3 linked regions of the Alligator mississippiensis genome follow. Each later gene encodes a partner of the first gene's protein in a complex. Links are inferred from orthologs where the notes say so. Each region holds a gene or a part of one and is shown on either strand. Other genes may lie near its edges.

Region 1 (7,452 bases):
TTCTGGATGCTGGCTCGGAGCATGACTTGCCACTGATCAGAGAAAATGCAGGCTGTGCACCGAATCCTCATATCTTTTGTATGCTATTGTTTACTGACCATCAGACAGCAACTCAGCTCAGTGATATTCTTTCAGGAGAGCCAAAAGCTAAGAAACCTAAATATGAGGAAAGGTACACAGTTGTCCAGTGTATATCTACCTCTTGTATAATTGGGTCATCTTCTTCATTTGCCATGCTAGAATGGTAAAAGCTGTCTTGGGCTCTCTAGCACAATCTGAAAGAGAAGAAAAATACCACATCAAGCCTGGGCTGTGAAAGTTAGTTCCCTGGCCCTTACTGAACAGGAGTATTCACGGGCTGCCATCCAGGGGAAAGCAGAACCTTGGCTGTGGACTTAGTCCAGAGATGTCTGAGTTGTGACAGGCGTGGTTAACTGCAGAAGCATCACAGGAGAAGCAGCCTGGTGCATGGCTGTGGCACTTAACTTGGGTGGCCTTGTATAGTTTCTGGCCAGTCTCTACTGTTCACCATAACCATAATGCTCCGACCAGCTCAAGGCCCCATCCAATTGCACGATTTGCACTGCCATAACAAGGACCCTAGCCTAGGATTCAGAAACACTGGATTGTAGCCCAAACTCTTCCACTGCCCTGGTCAATTCACTCTGCCCTTCACAACAGGGGAAGCAGGCACTCTTTGTCTGCCTGGTCTAGTTAAACTACAAACTGTTTAAGGCAAGGACTGTTCCTTACTACGTGCTATACAGTGCCAAGGGAAATACAGTATCAACTGCTGAGATCAGGGCTGTAAGAAACAGGAAGCAGTGAGCTTGATTCAGCCTAGTGGTTGTGGGACACCCTCTCCCAGGGTGTGGGAAACCAAGGTTAAATTCTCTCCATTCCCGGAGGGATTTGTACTTGTCATTTCCTAACTACCAGGCTACAGGACACTGATGAAAGGCTGCACTCAAGCCCTCCTTTTAAAACTGTTCCACTCTCTAGAAAAAAGTTAACGATTCACTGAACCAGAGTCAGAAGGACTGTAGCGTGTTGGTGTGACCACTGCTGGGCCGGGAGAAGGCCCTCATTCTGGTCCCTGCTCTAAGGACTGGTTCTGTATTTTACATGATGTTCCTTTGTGTGTCTACCCCTTGGTTATTAGAAGTGCCAGTAATTTTCCAATTCCTTTAAAAGATGACTAGAAGTACTTCTAATACAGGCAGGAAGCATATAGGGAGGAAGCATCGTTACCAAAACCAGTTTTATAACATTCATAAAAGCAACTTTCCATAGTGAAGAAAGCTAAACTAAACTCAAGGATTTCAAAGACACAAAAACAGAACTGTATGAAACCTTTTCAACAGAAATATAGTAAAGGAAGAAAGAAATACATGAACAGTAGAAGAATAACAGAAAAAAATTGAGATATATAAATAAATATGCTTGATTTGTAACTGAATAGATAGCACAAAGTCGTCTTATATCAGTTTTGGATTCATAAAAGGGGCTAGAAGTGCCAATCATTATTGGTCAATTAAACTGAGAGAACATGTGACACTGATACACACATGCAGACAGCAACACGAGCTACTTTAGAACAGGTGAAAAAAAAATCATATCCAACAGAAATTGCAGGTAGCATTTACAGAGATATAATCCAGCTACCCAAAAAGATGACCAGAGCCAGGATATTAGGGTATCCCAAAAAGTGAGCCTCGGGATCTTGAGCAATCAGAAAACAAAGACTCCTGTTTTATGTCTCTCTGAAAAACAGCATCTCCAACAGCACAGTGTCCCCTGCAACACCGAGACTGTAACACATTTCTGCTTTTGTGGGTACATGGAGATGTTCCTGAAGTCCCTGGACACATAGGGAGAAACCCAAAACATTTCCCAGTGCCATGTGTCACAGTACTAAAAGGCCGAGAACCGCTGTCCCACTGATCCACTGGCTCCTTCCCAGGACCGAAGGGAGACTGCCACCTTCTGAGTTACTGGCATCATTTCCTGCAGCGTCCAGGTTTGCCTCAAGAGCTTCACATCTAAATACCGGTGCTGCTCCTGTTTAACTCAGGCTTGGCTAGCATCCGGCAACTCGGGGCCTGCTAAAAGGCTTTCCATAAGCCCCTGAAAGGCAATTCCACATGATGTTTACCAGGCTCTTTACCAGGCCTGTCCATGAACAGGTTTGGAAGAGGACTTCCTGCTAATGACCAAGGAGCTTACAGGGATTTGTTGTGCAGCAAGGCTCCCATCACAGGGTGCTGTAACTTCTGCCCGGCAGACCCTGCTACAGGGATTTAAGGAGGTCCCTCATCAAGCAAGCACCTCTTTTCAGTGCCTCGGCATTTGTGTAGCGGCGTGCACAATCCCTCGGGCCCTTCCGCTCACTCCCTGCTAGTGACCACGTTAGGGGTGAAAACAACCCCGCCACACCCCAGGACACCTGGTCAGTGAGTCAGGGAAAGCAGGCACCATGTGGCCTGTGGCCCAGGTGGGGCGGCCTGCACCCTGCCACTCCCTGCTGCCAAAACCTTTTTTTAATTTCATTTTTGGTAACTGGAGAACCTACTTTCTCGCGGCACCCTGATGCCAGGCAGGGTGGGAGGGCAGGGGGCAAAACGAGGGTCGGAGGCAGAAATGCTGCTGGGAGGACGGAGGTGGCTTGCTGTGAGCCAGGATGCAGCAGTGCCTGAGCCAGGGAGCCGGCTGCCAGGCAGGCACCGAGGCCTCCATCTCCCCGCAGCACTTTCCCAGGGCACTGGCGGGGCGAGGGCCCTGCTTTTATGTTTATTTTTTTGCAGGGGGAAATAAGCGTCCCAAAAGCGGGACCAGCCCCGCAGTCAGGGACAGGCTCCCGACCCCCGCCCAGCGCTGCCTGGATCCGGCGGACCCCGGCCCGGCGCTGTCAGCCGGGCCTGATCTCCATCCTGCGGCGCGGCCCCGCCCCGGGCCCCGGCGGCCGGCCCTGCCTATCCCTACCTGCGGGGAGCGGCGGGCGCCGGTGGCCCCTCAGCGCGGTGCGGCTCCGGGGCGCTCTCAGGCGGCGGCCATGTTGCTCCCACTCCGGCAGACACGTGGGAGGCCCGGCCGGACCTCCTTTTACCCACAATGCTGCGGGCGGCGGGCCGGGCCGGGCCGGGCCGGGCCGGGCCGGCAGGCGGCGCTGCGGAGCGGCCGGGAAAGAGCGCAGGGACAAAATGTTCTGGCAGCGGTGGGATTCGAACCCACGCCCCCGAAGAGACTGGAGCCTTAATCCAGCGCCTTAGACCGCTCGGCCACGCTACCCAGATGATGGGGCTGTCTGCTGCGGCCCACTTATCTCTGTGTTATCTTCTAGAGCCAGCGTGGCCAAGGCTTTGCCCCACCGGCGTTTGTCCGCATTTCCCCTTGTGCTGAGAGAGCCTGAGCTTGTCCGGGTTTCCCCGGTGCCCCTGCTGCCTCCGTCCCCTTGCAGCCCCCAGGCTGTGCTGTGATCCCGAGTTTTGCTAACTTCAGCCTGGGCCTTGTTGCATTTCGTCCGCGGCGCCTCTACCCGCGCTCTGCCGCGGCAGCTGGAGACCCACCTCTGTGCACGGGGCAGAGCAGAGCCGGGGGCCCCCCAGGACCAACACTCAAGGGAAACAGGGTGTGCTACCTGGGGTGCTGCTCACATGCAAGGGCTCCTTGGCTCTGTCCTTTCTTTCTTGCCAGCGCTTCTGCAGCTGGGGGAAACTGAGGCGCAGGGAGTGCGCACCACTGGCTACACTTGGATGTGGGGCATAGGGAGGGGCAGGCTCATGCCCATGGGTAGAGGGCCAGAAAGTCTCCTGGAGGCAGTGCACAGACCACACGCGCACGCGAAGGGCAGAGGTGACTGATAGGGGGTGCATGTGCCCCCCTCAAGGGCCAACACTGATGCTGTCGGTAGGGCCGGTGCCCTCCCTGACAGGGTCGGCAGCTTCTGCAGGTGCCCCCCCAGATTCAGGAGGCACCAGTCACCCATGCCAAAGGGGGAGTAACTTCTGGCGTTTCTCAAGGGCGCTGGGCAGAAGCCACTGGGAGCCAAACCTTCCCGTCACTTGTCTGCCACAAGGACCCAGCTGCTGTTCGGGGGCGCTGTTCTGAAAAGTCTCCAGCTCTGGCATTTCATGCCCCCAAGGCCCCTCATACTTGTACTTCCTGCCATGGTGGAGTTGGGCTTTCAGCACGATAGGCCAATTTCTGTTGCCAGTATCCCAGACTCAATAATAGCAGTGTGGGCTGCCTAAAGCTGGGCGCACCTATATGTACATTCATGAAGGACTGGTGCCTTCTGAGACTGGGGGGGCACAATTTGTAGGCGGCAGTGTCAGCCGCAGGGTGGCGAGTGGCAACTACCCGCAGAAGTCAGCAGCAGGGGTGGGGGTTGTAGCGAGCGGCGATGGGTGACTGCCCACAGAAGCCAGCAGCGACAAGCAGCAATTGGTGGCCGGCTGCAGAAGTCACCAGTGGCAGCAGCAGCAAGTGGCGACTGCCCGCAGAAGCTGCGGTGGTGGCAGCGGGGAGGGTGGCAAGTGGAAGCCAATCTCAGGGGGGGCATGTGCCCCCCCCATACCTCCTTATGAGTCACCTATGCATACAATACTGCACTTTTCCTAATGCGCATTAAATTTAGCACCTTGGGGCACTTTTACACATGCTCTGCGGGGTGGGGAGCTTGAATTAGAGCAGCTCACGCTCTAATTAAAGTGCCATAGCAGCTTCTGTATCAGTGTCCCTGAACTTCAAAATGGCAGCAGGGGCATTTGAACTAAAGCCCGTTTAACAAGCTTTAGTTCACGCTCCCCTGTTGCCATTTTGAAGCGAGGGGACACAATACGCAAGATGTGGGAGGCTGCTGGAACACAGTCATTGCCACGTTCCAGCAGAGTCAATTACTTACAACGCACTGAAGCGGCCTCCAGGCTCGTGTACAGGCACCCTTCAATGTGAGGTACTCAATTAAAGCACATTAGGCTGCTCTAATGTGCAGTAGCACAAATGCATGTGTTTTAGGTAACACTGGACACCTTCACTTAAGATTAGGAGCTAATTACTGCATGTGTCACCATCTACATGTGCAGATGCTTATTGAACAGTAATTTGCTCTAATCACTAGTATATTTGCTACCTGCAAATGCAAGTAGCAAACAGTCAAGATTACTTACTTACTTATTATGTACTGCCTGCCTGGGAGTGGGGACCGGGAGATCCTTATTGGGGAGCTCCCTGACAGCTGGAGCTGCCAGCTTCCACTTCAGGATGGGGAGTGGGGGCCTAGAGCTCCCCCTGGCCGTTGCAGAGGCCCAGTGCAGGGCCACAGGGTGTGGGAGCAGTCTGCTGTTAGGATCTGCTTCTGCATCCCTGCATGTGTAGCCGCATACCCAGGAGTTTACTTTAAAGCGAATTGCTCCCAGATTATTTGCACTTTTCACACAAGCGCATAATGCCTATTTTACTATGCATTAGCATAATAGCAGAGTTTTTTATGCCCTGCTTTAATGTGCAGTAAAATAGGCTACTGCGCATTAAAGCGCACACGTAGATGTACCCATTGTGATCCTCGCAGAGGATGATGGAAAATCGATCTACCCCTGGGAAGGGCAACTGGGGATTAAGAGCACTTCGTCCCTTGGAAAGGATGTTCAGCTGAGACCCAGATTGAGTGATCACTAATGATCCATAGGGCTTCTTGGAAGAGCAGGTGTTAGGTCAACTCCCCTGGCCACATGATCATGTGTGTGTTTACATTGAACTTCACTGTGAGCTTGGGCCTGTGCCCATGCCTGTCCCATGACTGATTCACCCAGTCACCAATACACCTGCATCCCAGGGTGAGTGCAAGATGAGTCCATAATCTATGGCTTCACAGGCTGTACCCCACAGGTGCTACCCACCTCTGAACTCTGGTTGCAGCATAGCTGTGCGCAGGAAGTCTTCCTCTATCATCAGTCCCACAATCCCCTGTCCTGTTCCTTCCAGCCTGTCTGTACTCCACTGCCTTCCTCTATTGCCCAGAAGCAGGGTCATGCTTTGTTAACTCCCTGGTCAGAGCACAGCCCATCATCTTCTGGAAGTGCCACTAGCAGGCACCACTGACTCCTGCTGGAAAGAGTACAGCAAGCACCAGTTTCAGCCTGGTCAACACTTCTCTCAGTAACAGTGTGCACATCTGTGCTCAAAGTGCCTAAATGGTAACGAAGTCACAGATTTCTGTCAGCTTCCCCAAATACCAGTGGCAGTTGACAGGAAGTATGTGTGGACAGTCCTTTTCTTGTGCCAGGTCTAGCAGCTATCCCAAAGCAATTCCAGTGTCTAAATTCCTCCCTCTAAATCCTGCAATTTTGGGACATACTCAGCCCCTGGTAGCATGCACATGCAAGCAGGCAAACATGCCATGTAAAGCTGCTATAAAGGACAAACACAGATCCAAACCCTGTGCTCCTGCCTGGCATAGGAAGGAGGTGCTGGATTTCCTCAGCCTGTGGGAGAAGGGCCTGTCCAAGCCCTGCTCCTGGGGAACCACACTGTATACAGGGCAAATGTGGAGGGCGTGGAAGCAAAGGGCTACAAGGAGGATTTCTGGGCCAAGGCCAAGGCCCTTCAGCAAGCAAATAGCTTGAGTCGTCCTGCCAAGTGACACCCACGATGCATCCCTTTTTCATGGTGCTCCATGCCCCTAGACCTGCTCCTGGAAGTGAGCATTTCAAAGGACAATTTTCAAAGGGAACTCAAGGAGGAAACCATCACACCCTGCATCAAAGAGGAGGATACTCCTTCTGTGAGGATAAGGCAGAGATACTAAAACCCCCACAACCTCTCCTCAGACACCCACTATTCAACTGCCAGCACAGCTGATGCTAAGGCCAGAGCAGCAGTCAGGAAAGGGAGCTCTGGAAAGTGCTGCATTTTCTCCTCTTTTTCCTCCCAGTACACACATTTCTTCCCCAGGACATTCTCCCCAGCCCAGATAATGCAGTCACATTTCCTTTCCTGCTACTGCTGTAAATACAGGATCCTTATCTTCTTTTATCAGTGTCCTTGAGCACAGTAGCCTTGAGTAGGACATTTTCAACAGTAGCAGCAAGGCTGATGGCCAGGAGGAAACAGAAAAAGCCCTCCAGAGAGAATGTGGGGAAAGCTGAGGAAATGCATCTTGGCATCTGTCAAGCAATGGAGGCAGCAGGAACTCCTGGGAGGGAAGCACATAAGCATCTTCCCAAGGACATCCTACATTTTTAAGGCAGCAGACAGACATGTTCAGACCATCAGGCCTACCATGTCACAAACATCCAGTCCCACACAGACATGGGATTTTATAGCAAAAGAACCCTATTACTTTAGGTGCCTTCGTCATGGGACGATGGCGTGTCACTTTAAGTATACCCAGGTTGTTAAGCAGTACAATTCTCACAGTGTACAGACAGTTACAAAAGTAAAAGAGTAGTTACA
Region 2 (7,804 bases), on another chromosome or scaffold:
GGGATTTCCCGCCAAATTATATCTTCTTTGCAGTGTGCATTTCTTTTGCATCATAGTGATACACGCTGTAAAGAAGTTCCCGCCATTTGTATTAGGATCCGTGCCACATTATTGGCCCATTCCTAATGTAGGCACACGTGGCGGCTAGCGATTGGCTTGCTAGCCGTACAAAAGGCTTGGGTAGTTTCCGCCCAAGCCGGAGGAGGGAGGATGAGAGAGATTCTGTGTGAAGATCTCCAAGCGCTGCGGACCCAACGCGCCTCCCCTAAGCAGGCAATAGAGGCAATGGAACCGAGCCTACGGAGCTTTCGCTTCTCGCCGCTCCCCATCACTGAGCGCAATCCTAGACGTATCCCTTTCCTGTAACTTCGGACCCGCGGAGCATAAGTAACTCCGGGGAAACTTTTCGAACCTAACCAAACCCAATTTTCGAACCCACGGAGTCTTAACAGCTCCAGGAGACCTGGGAACCGAACCGGACCCGCGGAGCCTGAGCAACTCTGTGGGAGCAATCGATTTGTGGTGTTCCTCTAGTGAGGATCCAAGCGGAAGCTGTGCCTGGAAACCTATCCAGCCTACACCAATACCATCTTTGGGTGTAAGTAAACAATCTTTTCGATCAACCATTATGCCTCCATAACTAATTCTAACTCGCGTGCGCTAAACCGCCCTGCGGTTCTCTCCAGCCCCGCGTGCCTGGGCTGCCGGCCACAGCCCGTGTGCAACAAAGACGGGCCCGGCTTGCCCCCGGCTCGCACATGGCGACGGGAATGAGATCGGAATCACCGCCGCACATGGCGAGAAAGGTGGGATCGGGGCGCGGCCCACACACCATACATGTGACCCTTGGAACAAAAAGATGAGTACAGGATACATTCAACAGCGACCTTTTGCTTCTAATATTTAGTGTGGACATCTTTTTCTACATTGAGCCATAAGTCTGGCCACGTTTCTAGCAAAAGGTCTTGTTATTATTATGACAAGATCAAGGCATGGGATTTCACCATCACAAATGCTCTCAGGGAAGCTGCTCTGTTCACTGTGGAGGAATGCAAGGAACCTGGGTCACCACTTCGGCATAATACTGGCTGGTGCTATTTGAGCCTGTGCAGCTATACTTGGTTATGTGGGTGTTACAGAATAACAAATGCAACTAAAATTAAAGCAGATAAAGAGGTCAGAGAGAAGCTCAAAACTAAATAAAAATCAGCCTTCAAATCCTGAATCTGGTAGAATTTGAATGAAATATAGGTCCCACTGAAGCCAGTGGCAAAACTTCCTTTGATGTCAGTGGATCTTGACTTCCACTTAGTCTCCCAAGGGAATAAATGTGCTTAACGACCCTGTCATGACCCAATGATTGTGTGTGCGCTTCGGCACTGCAGAATTATTTCCCGCCGTCGGGAGCTTTCTTTGCACAGTGCAATTCTCAGCTGCAGAGAGAAAACCCCGGTGCAAAGGAGTTCCCGCCACCCGTATGTAAATTTGTGTCCCACTATTGGCTGTTTCTAAATTATTTCCACGTGGCGGCTAGCGATTGGCTTGCTAGCCGTATAAGAGGCTTGAGCAGTTTCCGCCCAAGTCGGAGATCTCCGAGAATCTCAGGAGGATCCTGAGAACCCTGATTCCGAGAATTCCGGGAGAAATCCGAGAGAATTCCGGCAAGGAGTCCACGATTATCTCGTGGATTTCTACGTAAATCTCGGACCGAATGGTGGTTTGATCAGCCATCAAGAGTCTCTCCCCGTCACCGAACAATCCCTGACGTATCCCTACCCTGCATGCTCGTTGAGAGTCACAGCTCGGACTCTCGTATAGGTTCAGAGAGCTCTCATCGTTCGAGTTTTTTTTCTTTTCTTCTATCTACAACTGTAACCAAGCAAGTTTTCCTGCCTGCACTGCGACCATCTACAGTGTAAGTAAAACAATCTTTAATCAACCTCCACGCGTCAGTGCCTAATTCTAGTCCGCCGTGCCGACTTCCCCGGCCTACGTGCCCGGGCTGCTGGCCACAGCCCCTCGGCCCCAACAGACCCAACTGTGTTATCCCTGCACTAAAGAAGAATAGCAGTAAGCTGCTGCTAACACTGAACAAAACACGTTTTCTGCTCTAGCCAGTCCAAAAAAGTGAGCAGGCCAGGCCCAGCCCTAAAGCCACACCTGCTTAGGAAGCAAGGGTGCAGGCAGGGAAGCTGTGAGGGGATGGGCTGGTGCCCCCACCAAGCAGATGCAACCCTACCATGGAGAGCAGCCGGTTGATGGCCACGGCCCGCTGCTGGGCGTCCGTGTGGGGCATCTCGTTCTGGATCACCTGATCCGTGATGCCGTGGGGAAACTGATGGCAGAGCTCGATGATCCTGAGTGGGATGAGGAAGAGGAGTCAGTGTGGGTTAGGGTTACCATACGTTACCACGGACATTTCCTGGACATGTCCTGTTTTTGGGTCCTCCTATCTCTATCTAGGCAGTTTTTTTAAATATCAGCAAGTGTCTGGGATTTTGCTCTCCCCGGCTTGTCCCAGCAGCGGGGAAAGTTGAGTAGAGGCTGGTCACCAGTTCTTTGAGCACGGGCCCCAGCAGCTGCAGGGGTGCAGATGGGGGGGGGGGGGGGGGAGTGTGCCTGCCTGCTTGCTAGCACTGGGGCTGCAGCAGGGCAAGGGAGTTGGGGGCAGCAGGCCTGGGGTGGGAGGGCAGGGAGCTGCAGATCAGGAGTGAGGGGCACAGGAAGGCTGGGGGGGTGGGGCAGGGGGCTGTGGGTTAGAAGTGAGGACCAGGGGCAGGGCACGGACATGTCACTATCGCCCCCTCCATCATATATCCCTCCCCCCACCTACAGGTACCTTCTTTTTTTAAAATGGAAATACGGCCACCCCAGTGCGGGGCTCCCCCATGGCCCCGTACCCGCCCCGCCAGAGACACCGCAGGGCCCGCCCGGCACCTGTTCTCTACGTCCAGCGGGTCCGGGACCTCGGGCTTCACCTTGACCTCGGCCATGGCGCTGGGGGAGGAGAGGGACGCCTCCGCGCTCCCCACGCACAACTCCCCGGCAGCGACACCAGGGCCGTGCGGCGCGCACTGATGACGCTAACCACAAACTCCACCCTCACCGAACGCCACGGGCGCCGGTTGAGAGGGAGCGCGCGGCGGACCAATGAGAGGCTGCTGCCTCGGGGGGGCGGGGCTTGGCGGGGAGCGTCCGTGGTAACGGCGGGGCGACGGGGGGCGACGGAGAGGGTGAAGGCCCGGGGGGTGGCATTTCGCTGCGCTTTTATCTGCCTCGCCCGCCTGCGTGCGGGGGGTGAGGGGGATGCGTATGTGTGTGCAGGGGAGTGTGGAGGTGTGCACATACATGTAGGTGTGTTCATGCACATGCACACAAGGGTGTGCGCACACACGTGCCCCCTCACTCACATGTTCATTTTAAAAGTCATATGCTGTTTTGTTTTTCAGGTGTCCACACAGAGGGAAAAAATGACTGCTGGTTCCGTCCTCGTGCCTCAGATTATACCGCTTCAGCTTCCTCTTGCCCGGAAGGCGAAACATGAAATAGATACAAATACCCTCGTTGAAATTAAGTCAGGTACAAACAGCAGCTTTCAGTCTATAGTGGAAGCTCTTCTCCTCTTCTTCTGCAAATTGATGTCCATGCTTTTTGATACTGCATTTGTATTCACACCTTTTTTCACGGGTACCCATTTTCTTAAGTGACCAGCATAAATTTTATGGGTCTTAATTCTGCAAACACACCTGTGCTTTATACGCGTGGGTAGTCCGACTGTAGTGAACAGCGCTATTCACATAGTGTAAACTGTATGGTAAATCATAGGTGTCTGTATTTGCAGGATCAGGGCCTTTAATTCCACTACTTTTGTCCTCCTTCCATTTGAAGTGATGCTGTGTTTGTTCTGTAATCACAGTGTAGTATGAAAACCTGGGCGTTTGATGATTTTGCAGTATGCTACAATTTTTCAAAACTGGGACTTTCTCGTCAGTTCTTCTCCAAAGGTCATATCTGCCAGTTCTGAAATTCCAGTTTCTATTTTTCAACCATAATCCATGTTCACATTAGAACGTGCAAGACTTAGAACCAGTGTTTGTTTTCATACAAGATCACCTGCTCTACAGTTATCTTCTGAGAAGGGAAATCCCTGTGATGAAATTGTCCAACTATTTTGTTGCTGAATTTTGTGAGGCTTAAAAATTGATATAGTCCAGGCCTTGCAATCACTTGCACACCTGCTTAATTTTGCTTAGATGAGTAATTAAGCATATGCAAGCCTCAGCAGTACTAGACCTTCCTTATTTTTGCAAAGTCCCAATATAGTTTTAATGCATATCTTATTTGTGTCTTGCAGATACCCCTGATGTCACCATATACTACACTTTAGATGGAAGTAAACCAGAGCTCTTTAGAAAATCTGGCTATGGAGAGCATAACACTTTTAAGTATAAGGGACCTATCACCTTGCCTGATGGGAAAATAATGGTCAGAGCTACGGCAGTCACAATGTAAGTAGCAACTGTCTATCTTATATTGTTGTTGTTGTTATTTATACTGCAGCAGTGCCTGAGAATGGCAGTCAGAGATCTTGACTACCCTGTGCCAGATGCTGTACAAATACAGAATGAAAGATACTCCTTGCCTCACAAGGCTTACAATATAAGTACCTTGTATGGATTCCTTTTCATTGATATCAGTTTGCCACCACATTTATTAGTATTTACTAATTACTTGCCATGGGCAGTAGTCATGGATGAGGGCCCAATTTCACTAGGCACTATAGAATCTTGCCATGAAAAGTTTTCATCATAAATACATTTGTATAATAGTTTTTATTTTCTTAATAATTTACTTTTAATGAGCCCACTTCAAAAGATGAGCTAACACATTTTCCCACTAATGCTGTGTGGTAGTTTAATATTCCTTTTCCCATTTTACACATGGCAATCCAGAGACGGGAGCAGTCTTTCCAAGTTTCTGTGAAGTCCGTCTTTCCAGGTTTTTGTGGGTGTGGGCATGTAACAATTGAACCATTTAAAAAAATGTCACTGATTGGGAACTGGTTCACAATTGTCATGAGTCAGAGATGTTGGCATGTACAGTGCCCTAGCCTTCCAGGTAGAAGGATTACCTTTTAGCCATTGAAGAACTGTAGCTCCAACACCAGAGGATGGGAGTGAGCACTCAGCCCAGCCTGCCTCACATTGGGCAAGTAATGGGAGAAGAGTGCTTACACCCATGCTTTGAGGATCCTAAGGGGTGAATGACCTGTGATTGTGGTTCACTTTTTTGCTTTCCCTTTTCTCCTAAACATGAAAGTTCAGTAGCGTGCACTTGACCAAAGTCTGCAGTGTGCTTACCTGCCTTGTTGGGGAGAGGGGGAGTGCTTGGATCCATATTTTTGCGTTCCCGGAGGGGGCATAATGAAGGACCATGGCTGAGTAGGGGATAAGGGCACAGCTGGTTGCTAGAAAAATAGCTTTCATTAAACCAGCAGTGCCCTATAAATGTGGTAAAAAGTGCCAACAAAAAGAAAAAAGAAGGGGCAGTAGAATTCTGGTCCTATACCAGAGCAGAAAGTTACAGCAGAGGGGAGAGGGGATGAGAAGTGATGCAGTGTTGGGTGCTTAGACCATGGAAACCCCCACCAATCTGAATCATGGACAACTTGGACTCCACAAATAACATTGACGCAGTTCACAGTGAACCAGTTCAAAAGAGTACTTGATTTTCCAGGTACTCATCTGAACCATTCCAGGCAGTTTAAAATTGGTTTAACAGACTAGTATGTCTATCAGGTTTAAACAGCATGTAAACTATTCTTAGTGTTATGTCTGTCCAGACCCAAAGCATACTGCTCAAGGCCATCTACTAGATTAGTAATAGATTAAAGGCTAGTTGTTCATAATCCCAGCCCCACAAGCCTCACTAGATCACACTGGGTGCATCTACACATGCAAATGATGCTAGATGGGTTTACTCCACAGTAATTTACTGTGGAGGAAACCCACCCTGGGTAGGCATCTACATCTGCAGGCATTTGGGACCAGATTTGCTCCCAAACAGAGCAGCCCAGAGAAGGATGCTCCCACCCTGGTTTGGCCCCCTGAAGCAGCCAGGGGAAACTTTAGGCTCCCACTGGGTACAAGCCCAGGGGCTGGCAGAGAGCATGGGGCCAGGAGACAGCTGTCTCCTGGTGGGGGATGGGAGACTGCTCCTTGCCCCTGGGAGGTGTCTGCTGCTAGGGTAGGCGCCAGTGGTGAAGCCTGGCTTGGGACTGTGTTCCCCTGCCCCAGCAGCAGAGAGCTCGAAGCCCCGGCTCCACAACTGCGGGCAGGGGGCTTGGAAATTGCTGCAAGGGAGGGGCAGGTCCCAGCCTCCTACCCCAGTCCACCAGTGGGGCAGCTAGCAGTGAACCTCAGCTGAGTGGGGATTTCTCCCTGTTCCACCAGTGGGGCAGCTAGCAGTAAGCCCCAGCTTGGCGGGGATTCCCTACTCAGTCAGGAACTCACTGCTAGCTTCCCCACTGGCAGATGAGGTCAGGAGCCTGGGACAGCTCCCAACCACCCCCGGCTTTGCAAGGAATCCTTGCCCAGCTGGAGGCTCACTGATAGCTGCCCCACCGACGGATTGGGCAGGGGGCTGGGACCTGCCTGTCCTCTGCAGCTCTTTCCAAGCCCCCTGCCCCTAATTGTGAAGCCACAGCCAGGAGCTCCATGCTGCTGGGACAAGGGACCATTGTCGCAGCCCAGGCTCTGCCATTGGAGCCCGCCCTGGCAGCAGGCAACTCCTTGGGGCAGGGAGTTATCCACCCTTCCTCCCACCCCCTCTCCTCCTCCCCGCCAGCTGCCCAACTGACTGGAAGCAAATTTGATCCTGGTCAGCTGTCTACACAGGCAGACACTTATTGCACAATACATTGGTCTACTCCACAGCAAATGCAGGTAGCAAATTAATTACATAGTTACTGCATAGTAAGGCATGTGTAGATGGCTGACTGGGAACAAATTTTCTTCCAGTCAGCCAGGCAGCAGGGGGCGGGAGATTGATCCCTGCCCCTGGGATCTTGCTGCACAGTAAATTGTTCTACTGTGCAATAAAGCATCTTGAGTAGACGCACCCACTGTCTCCTAATATTAAAATTCTAGCGCTTGAATTTTAAGCATTGACCTGGCCGTGGTGCCACTAGTTTCTTGTTCAGCATTTGTGGATGTTGGAGCATACTTGGAAGTTCCACTCCCTGGGTTTCGGGGCTGAGGTATCAGTGACATGTTGGTGTGTTGCAGCAGAGAGTGCTGGCCTAAGCTGCTTTTAGAGCTGCACTATGGACCCCTAATTATAAGTAGTCATACAAAGTAGGAGATAAATACTCCCCTACCATACATCCTTATAAATAATGGGGGGCATGCTGCCTTCTCTCATGCAAATGAATGGCACCCTAGTAATCACTAGTAAGGCATATTGGGAGCAAAGAACAGGTGAAAGAGGATTTTTGTGAAAGAGGAACAGGTATTAAATGTATCCATTTTTTTTCTATCCGTTTTTATTGGTGAATTTTATCATACCTAGAATATCAGTGGTTTGTTTGACTGGGATTATGCTTGTTTGATGAAATAGTAGTCTGCTGTCCAGAAGGAGGAGTTTCAAGACAGGACCTATTTTCAGTGTTGATTTACTTTTTACTGCACATAATTTTGTGGTATACCTTTTTACTGACTTTCAGGGACTGCAGAGAAAGTGCCATTGTAACAAAGATGTTTTTGGTAGAATACAAGCCACCAAACATACTGTTCTCTGATGAAGA
Region 3 (7,249 bases), on another chromosome or scaffold:
CATCCTTAAGTAAGTTATCCTTTATAACAAAATCTCTCTTGATTATTTTCAACCTTAAAATGAATTTTCAGGGCGGGTGGTTTTGGTGGGGGCAAGGGGTGATATCAGAGAAAGAAAGGTAGATTTTAGAGGTTTAAAATTATACAAACAAAGAAAAAATACCTGATGCCCTTGAGGGTTAAGCCAGCATGAAAAATATTTGTGGTGCCACAGTCCCCTACAATTTAAAGGAATAAACTGTTATGTACTATTTATATTTACAGCCTGTTCCTTCTCTTTGTGTTAAGTCTCCCTCCACTCCCCTATACTTCATTTATTTATTTGATTTCTATGCCACTGCCCTCCCCACAAAAGCTCAGGGCAACTTACAAAGACAGTCATAAAAATTAATCAAGCAAAACAATTCCCCAAATAATACACACAGCTGAATGCCACCTGCTAAATTCTTGTCCAAATGAAAAAGATCCTATGCCACCTTTAAATGGCGGCAGACTCTAGAGGCGTCAAGGGAGAGAAAGCTCCAGAGCTGAAGAGCAACATCTGAGAATGATGTTTTGGCCCATGTGTTTTGGCCAAGCAGACTTGATGTGCTGATGGTACTTGCAAGAGGCTATTCTCGGCTGACTTTAGGGATCATAATGGTCTTACCTACCTTAGGTATATAGGACTCAGGACATGTAGGGCTTTATAGGTCATGACCAGCACCTCAGATTGCACTCAGAAAACTACAGGAAGCCAGTACTAACTCTGGAAGTATGGGAGTAATGTGCTCCTGGGGACCCAGCCATGTCTGAAAGCAGGCCACTGTATTCTGCACCAGTTGCAGCTTCCGGATGGTCCTTAAAGCCAATCCCACATAGAGTGCATTAAAGTATTAATCTAGCCTCAAGGTTACAAAAGCATGGGTAATGGTGGCCGGATATGAATCTGAAAGATAGAGCAAGCAGCTTTCACACCTGATGGAGCTGATGAAAGGTGACTGCCACTATCTCTACTCCTTCAGTTTCTGTTTGTTCCATACTCATCCCACCCACATACACCAATACCTGCTTTATCCAAACACCTCCTCTTATCAAGTCTCACACACCTGGCTTGAAAAAAATTACCAAAAATTTATTAAGGGGACAACATGAAAATGAAACATGCCATTGTCCACGTAAAAAGCTTCGTCACCAAGCCCTTGGGGGGGGGGGGGGGGTAGGACACGGACAGCTTGGATTGTGGTCCCTAGCTATACACAGATCCAGGATTTTGTAAAGAGGGGTGTGGGACCAGCGACTGGCACTAGAGGGGTGGCTGTACCCTGGGTAGGACACACAGTGGGAAGAGCAGCTGAGGACTTTTTCTTAAGTCCCCAAATCAGGTAAGAATCTTGCCTCCCCACACCCACTTTTGGCATCCCCTCCCTTTACCTGTGCTTAACAGCACCTCTCCTGCCTTCCCATTCCTTCCCCGCTCAAGCTGCTGCTATCCCCAGCTGACCTTGGGGACAAGGGGAGCTCCAGAGCTGTTCCTGCCCCACTCCAATTGTGCTCAGCCAGAGACAGTGGCAGTGGACAGGTTCTCTCTCTGTGCAAGGTCCCCTAAGTGTTCCCTGATAACTCAGGAACAAGCTCAGGGAGGGGGAACCCACCCACCGCCACTGCTGCTGTCCCCTGCTAAGCCTGACTTCCATGTAGCCTGGCTAGAATGGGGCAGGAGAGGTTCTGGAGCTTCCCCTATTCCCGGATAGTAGCAGGCAGGGAAGAAGGGGAATGGGGTGAAGTGGACATACCACTAAGCATGGAGGGAAAGAGGGGGATAGGGATTCTTACCTGCTTCAGGGAATTAAAAATGTCCCTGGCTGCTAGTCCCACAGTGTGGTTTGAAAGGGTGGGAGGGGAGTGCAACAGAACCACTGCGCTTTCTCTGGAACCACCTCTGCCAACATCCTGTTCCCAGTTCCATTTTTAATATACTCTAGCTGCTAGAAATGTAATAACTGTACATAAGCCAGATCTCCAGACACCACGAAGGCTCCAAGATGCTGCAGGAAAGGAAATAGTTGTTACCAATTTACCTTGTGAATGTGCTTCTTTTATCTCTGCTGCTGTTCATGGATTTCTGCAGCAGCAAGAGAAACAAAAACATGTGGTTATCTTTAGTTTTATAGCTGATCAAAATGAGTTCCAAAGAGGAGTATTTAAGCTAAAATTCGTATCAGTTTTCATTCCATTAAAGCTTGCTCTGGAAAGCTAAAAGCGGCAGCAGAGGCACCAAATATCACTCTGTGCACACTCAGAAAGAGGTTTTTCAGATTGACAATTAAGCCTATGGGAGCCCAAAAAAATAAAAACAACAAAAATCACTTCAATTAACCACTTAGCCCCTGCTACACGTTACACATATTAGGTAATGAACAGGTTAATTGCACTATAAATTTAGACTTACATTGTAGGTGTGGCCAGACTGGCCACAAGTGCAAAGTAATTATCATGCAATTAACTGGCAAATCACACAATAAATTCTGACCAGCCACATGTGCAAAGCAAGACAGGCCACACGCGCAAAGTAATTATCGCGCAACGAACTGGTGAATTGCACAATACATTTGGACCCGCCACACACACACACACACACAAAGTAAAACCAAGCACAAGCACAAAGTAATTATCACACAACTAACTGGTGAATCAGGCAATAAATTAGACCCACCACACGTGCAAAGTAATCATCACACAATCAAAAGGACTACACAGCTCTACAGAGAGCCAACCCGCTATAAAGTTAGCACTTGACAATGTGTAACAAGTCTGTAGCTGGTTTCTATCCAGTTTTTGTTTGAATGTGTGGCAAGGCCCTTCCCTTTTGCCCCAGGCACCCACTGGTGAAGAACCCCTTGGGAGAACCTGGGAACAGGCACAAGCTACCCTAACACAAAACCTTTTGACAGATCAGCACTTTGGCCTGGCCTGAAAGATGAGAGTCATTTGCCAGGGACTTGGCCACTTACCGCCTCCCACGTTTGCAAGGCAACCGCGAGCACCAGTACACCAGGGGCACCTGCCCAGAGCACCGCACGGGCAAATGAGCCCCGCGCACTTGGTCACTTGATCTGAAAGCCTCAACTTCAAGCGGCTTCGTCCCTCCACCCACCGGCCCACTTGCTATTGCGAGAAGGGGTCGTGGGCCAACGCCCCCGGAGAAAAAGAGGCTACTGAGACAGCGGCCACTAATTCCTTGGAGCAAAGTAAAAGGAAAGCAGGGAAGGGAACGGGGTCAGAGGTTCAAAGCCAGGGATCTGGAAGGGCGGCCCGGAGCGGAGCAGCCCTCCAAGGAGTCCAGTGGACGCTGCCTCCCCCCGGGTAGGCGGCCTCGAGCTCCGGCGTTAGGGCGCCCGGGGGTTGTTCCCAGAGGCGAAGCGAGGCGAGGCCCCCCGCCCAGCGCTGCGCCCCTTGCATCAGGCGGCAGCGCAGCCGCCACTCATGCGGCCACCCCGGCTGCTGCAGTGGGCAGGGCCGTGCCCGCCCGCAGCCACCACCTCCGGCCCCGCCCCCCTCGCCGCGCCGGGGAAGGGGGACAGGCAGGCAGGCGGGATGTCGGCGCTGGAGTGGTTCGCGCACAAGGCCCTGGGCGGCGGCATCTACTGGATCCAGGAGCGCTTCTACGAGTCGGGCAACCGCGCCAACATCTGGCTGGTGCGCGGGTCGCAGCGCGACGTGGTCATCGACACGGGGTTGGGGCTGCGCAGCCTGCCCGACTACCTCCGCGCCGCCGGGCTGCTGGAGGCCGGCGCCGACGACGAGGCGGCGGGCGGGGGCCGGCGGCCGCTGCTGGCCGTGGCCACCCACGTGCACTTCGACCACGCGGGCGGCCTGCACCAGTTCGCCGAGGTGGCGGTGCACGGCGCCGAGGCGGGCGCCCTGCAGCGCGGCGACAACTACGAGGCGGTGACGTGGCTGTCGGACCGCGAAGTGGTGCGGCCGCCCGGCCCCGGCTGGACCGCGCGGAGCTTCCGCGTCCCGCCCGTGCAGCCCACGCACGTCCTGCAGGAGGGTGCGTACGGCCCGGCCCGGCCTGCAGGGAGGCAGGGGCGGCGCTGCGGGTGGCGCGCCTGCCCCCCGGGCTGTGGGGGGGCCGAGAAGGGGTCGGTGCGTCTGGTGGACGACGGGGAGAGCACCTGGGTGGGGTGCCAGCCCCCCAGGATCGCCCTGGAGTCTGCAGGAGTTGGATGCAAACCTCCAGGAGACTGCTACCCGGGAGAGAAACCAGAGGGAATGCGTTAACATTAATATTATTAAATGTTGAATCGGATGTATCTAGTAGTTTTGCTGGTGTCTAAAATGTAGTAGTAATGTGCGTGTGCCTTCCTGGTGTCAAGTCAGTAATGTCATGAGGTCAGGTGATAACACCTGCGGGAATGGACTGAAGGAGAGTTGGTAGCCCTATGCCTAGGGTTGTTGGTTGTAGCCGTGTTGGTCTAAGGACGTGGGCAGACGAGGTCCTTGGGGTCAGTAGGGTATCTTTTATTAGGGGTACAGGTTGTAGCTGCGTGGCTTGTTGGCTTCTTGTGGGCTCAGATCAGGCATAGTCTGTGCTTACCTAGGGGAAATACCACGATCACCACCATGGCTTCCTAGTCGCACTCAGGAAAGACTGCTTTGCTGGCATGGGGTAGTACCCGTGTAGGTAATGCACAGTTAACCTGGGCTTTATGCCTACTTTATGGAAATGAGAGACTCCTCCCTAGCTTGCTCCTGGGGTCTTATAGCTAAGGGCAAGCAAAACTCAGGGTCCCCAAGTCTCTGGGCTTGGGCCTGCAAACAGGATGCCCGCCAAAGGATTTGGGAACATCTGAAGCCCCAGGTGGGGGTGGAGGATATTTGCCGATAGTAAGGCAACTTTGGGTTCTGGACTGACTCACGGATTTGGAAATGCTTTGGCCAATTTGGCTTGGAATACAAAAATTATGAAAAAACAAAAACAGGTTGTCGCCATGTTAGTCTGCAACCCTTGGGGAGGCAATATCTTTTACTAGACCACCTAGATCGTTGCAAAATAAATCACCTCCCCAAGAGTTGTGATATCTTCTATTAGACCAGTTGGATTCCACGCAGAACAGCATATGAAGAAATGCCAGACTCTCCCAGTGCCTGAAGAAGGGTGTTTGTACCTGGAAACTTGCAAAGAACAATTTTCCAACTCTTTAACTGGTTTAATAAAAAATATCATATTCACCCAAATAACCTTGTCTGTACAGCACCTAGGTGCAAACACATCTGGGCTTCCAGGTAAGCACTGATCCAGTCCCGGGGCACTGAGCCTGCCGGGAGCAGTTGCCCCTATACACAGGCACACCAGCCGTATAGGCCATTTTGCTGGTATTCATGTGCCCCTGCAGGGTCCTTCTGCACCTAGTGCTCTATGCCTTGAATGAGTTAGTGTATAAGGTGCTGCCCTGCGCTGCTGCCTCTTGTGTGTCCCACTTGCACACAGGGACAGTGCACATCTGTCTCAACATAGGGCAGTGCACCTGCGTGGTTGCCTGTCAGAAGTTTGTATGTATTGCCTCTGTGTTTTTGTGTGCCCACACCTCTTGGACATTTACTGCAGTTCTTGTTTCTACATCTAATATCAGCCATATAGGCTGGGGTGCGTTTATATGCATCTGAATGCATACCAGGATAGTTTCTGGTTGCATTATTGGTATTTGCTGTATATAGTCTTTAAATATAAAGAATGGCAATTATATTGGCATCTACTTCACTGATGTCTGTTACCTGATCAGCAGAGTTATAATGGCTGCATCAAGTTGTATGTTTGTAGTGAATCTCTGTAGAGCACGTAGGCACAAACTTGTCTTAGTTTCCAGATTAGAGACCTGATTCTTTTCTGCCTTGGTCTTATCTGGCCTTTTACAGCAGTGCAAAGAACAAATAAAATGTCACAACCTCAAGTCAGTGGAGAATACTGATTTTGGTAATGGTTTATACCACAACATGTAAACAGCTGCTCCGGATATTGGGTAGTGGAAGATCAGGCATATTAGGTGTATTGAAGGAAATTATGAATCGGGTGTATTGGAGGGAATTATGTTACTAGATGTAGAAGACAAACATTTTCAACGCTCTTCAGAATCTTAATTTTTCATCTCTCTGTGGAAGTGACAAAGAAAATAATACTTTCCTTGAGCTAGTCAAATAAAAACATTACTTTGTTGTCCCGTGGGAAGCAGGCAAATCAGTGGCTGGGGATGACTGCCAGGAATTGTGTGGTTTTCCAGTTTGTCAGGGTTGTTACAGGAAGCTTTTTCACTAATGGGCAATAGAATCTGCACCCAAGGAGAGAATTCTCTATCAGTCAACAGCAATTTGGACCAGACAGGATGATAATCTTCTATTGAGTGTATGGTTATGTCTGTCCCTTCATGTCTTAAGAGAGATTAATGCAACTATATGCATGTATACTCAGTATTTCAGCTATTTTTTGATGACAAAGGTAAGGAAAATCTGAGACTTACATTTCGGTTCCCTCTCCCATACTGAAAGAATCCAGCAGATACAGGCACACATTTGTTTATAGATATGTTTTCTCTGGTTTGATCCTAAAGCAAAGGAAGCAATTAACGTTACCTCAGCAGTTAAAGAAATTCTATTTCTGATGTTTTTTAATTGTGAAGATTTCTGAGAGAGCCAGATACCCTTTTTTCTTCTCTTATGGCACTAATGTACCCCTTTTTATAGTATGGAAATAAAAGCAACCATAAGAAATAGTGTTGTTTTATTTGTGATATATTTTCAAACATCAGCATGGATATAGGCCAACCTAGATTGCTGTAGCACTGACTATTTCAAAATTATCTAGTTGTTTTACTGCATGATATAGGGTAGGTTCTTCAGTTCATTTTGATAAAATCAAAATGAAACTCAAGGTAACTCTTTCTTTTAGGTAATATTTATAAAATGTACAGGAGAAATATTTGATTAAAGTTAGAGTTAAAAAATCCTTGAGAGCAGTACAGTTTTTCCTCCTTTTGAATAGGTCTTCACTACAGAAATGAGTTGTTGGCTCTATAAAGTTGGGGATATAGGCATCTCTACGTTAAAGGTTTTAGCTTTAAAATATTTAGATGATAGTAAAGGTTTATGTGAGTTGCCCACTACATATAAGAAACAACATTTTTATCTCACGAAAGTGTAAAGGAGTCATTCAGGTGTGTTAAATTTTATTACAAGTTCGGTAGTCACCTGTTGACTACTGTTTTTTTGTT

The links.
Region 2: POLR3E (region 1) and POLR3F share a complex: the UniProt entries of both Homo sapiens proteins name them as parts of the RNA polymerase III complex. The link is inferred for Alligator mississippiensis from reciprocal best matches to the Homo sapiens genes POLR3E and POLR3F.
Region 3: POLR3E (region 1) and POLR3G share a complex: the UniProt entries of both Homo sapiens proteins name them as parts of the RNA polymerase III complex. The link is inferred for Alligator mississippiensis from reciprocal best matches to the Homo sapiens genes POLR3E and POLR3G.

Annotation. Positions count from the first base shown.
Region 1 is NC_081836.1:46,616,261-46,623,712, reverse strand, and holds the start of POLR3E (DNA-directed RNA polymerase III subunit RPC5), read right to left. Parts: upstream 3,091-7,452; 5' UTR 2,983-3,090; intron 276-2,982; 5' UTR 236-275; coding exon 200-235; intron 1-199. UniProt on the Homo sapiens protein: DNA-dependent RNA polymerase catalyzes the transcription of DNA into RNA using the four ribonucleoside triphosphates as substrates.
Region 2 is NC_081824.1:231,047,885-231,055,688, forward strand, and holds the start of POLR3F (DNA-directed RNA polymerase III subunit RPC6), read right to left. Parts: upstream 3,083-7,804; 5' UTR 2,994-3,082; coding exon 2,938-2,993; intron 2,358-2,937; coding exon 2,240-2,357; intron 1-2,239. Other genes in the region: DZANK1 (double zinc ribbon and ankyrin repeat-containing protein 1), read left to right, coding at 3,369-3,579, 4,355-4,508, 7,724-7,804. UniProt on the Homo sapiens protein: DNA-dependent RNA polymerase catalyzes the transcription of DNA into RNA using the four ribonucleoside triphosphates as substrates.
Region 3 is NC_081826.1:243,056,267-243,063,515, forward strand, and holds the start of POLR3G (DNA-directed RNA polymerase III subunit RPC7), read right to left. Parts: upstream 3,083-7,249; 5' UTR 2,993-3,082; intron 2,104-2,992; 5' UTR 2,060-2,103; intron 218-2,059; 5' UTR 163-217; intron 1-162. Other genes in the region: acyl-coenzyme A thioesterase MBLAC2, read left to right, coding at 3,465-4,035. UniProt on the Homo sapiens protein: DNA-dependent RNA polymerase catalyzes the transcription of DNA into RNA using the four ribonucleoside triphosphates as substrates.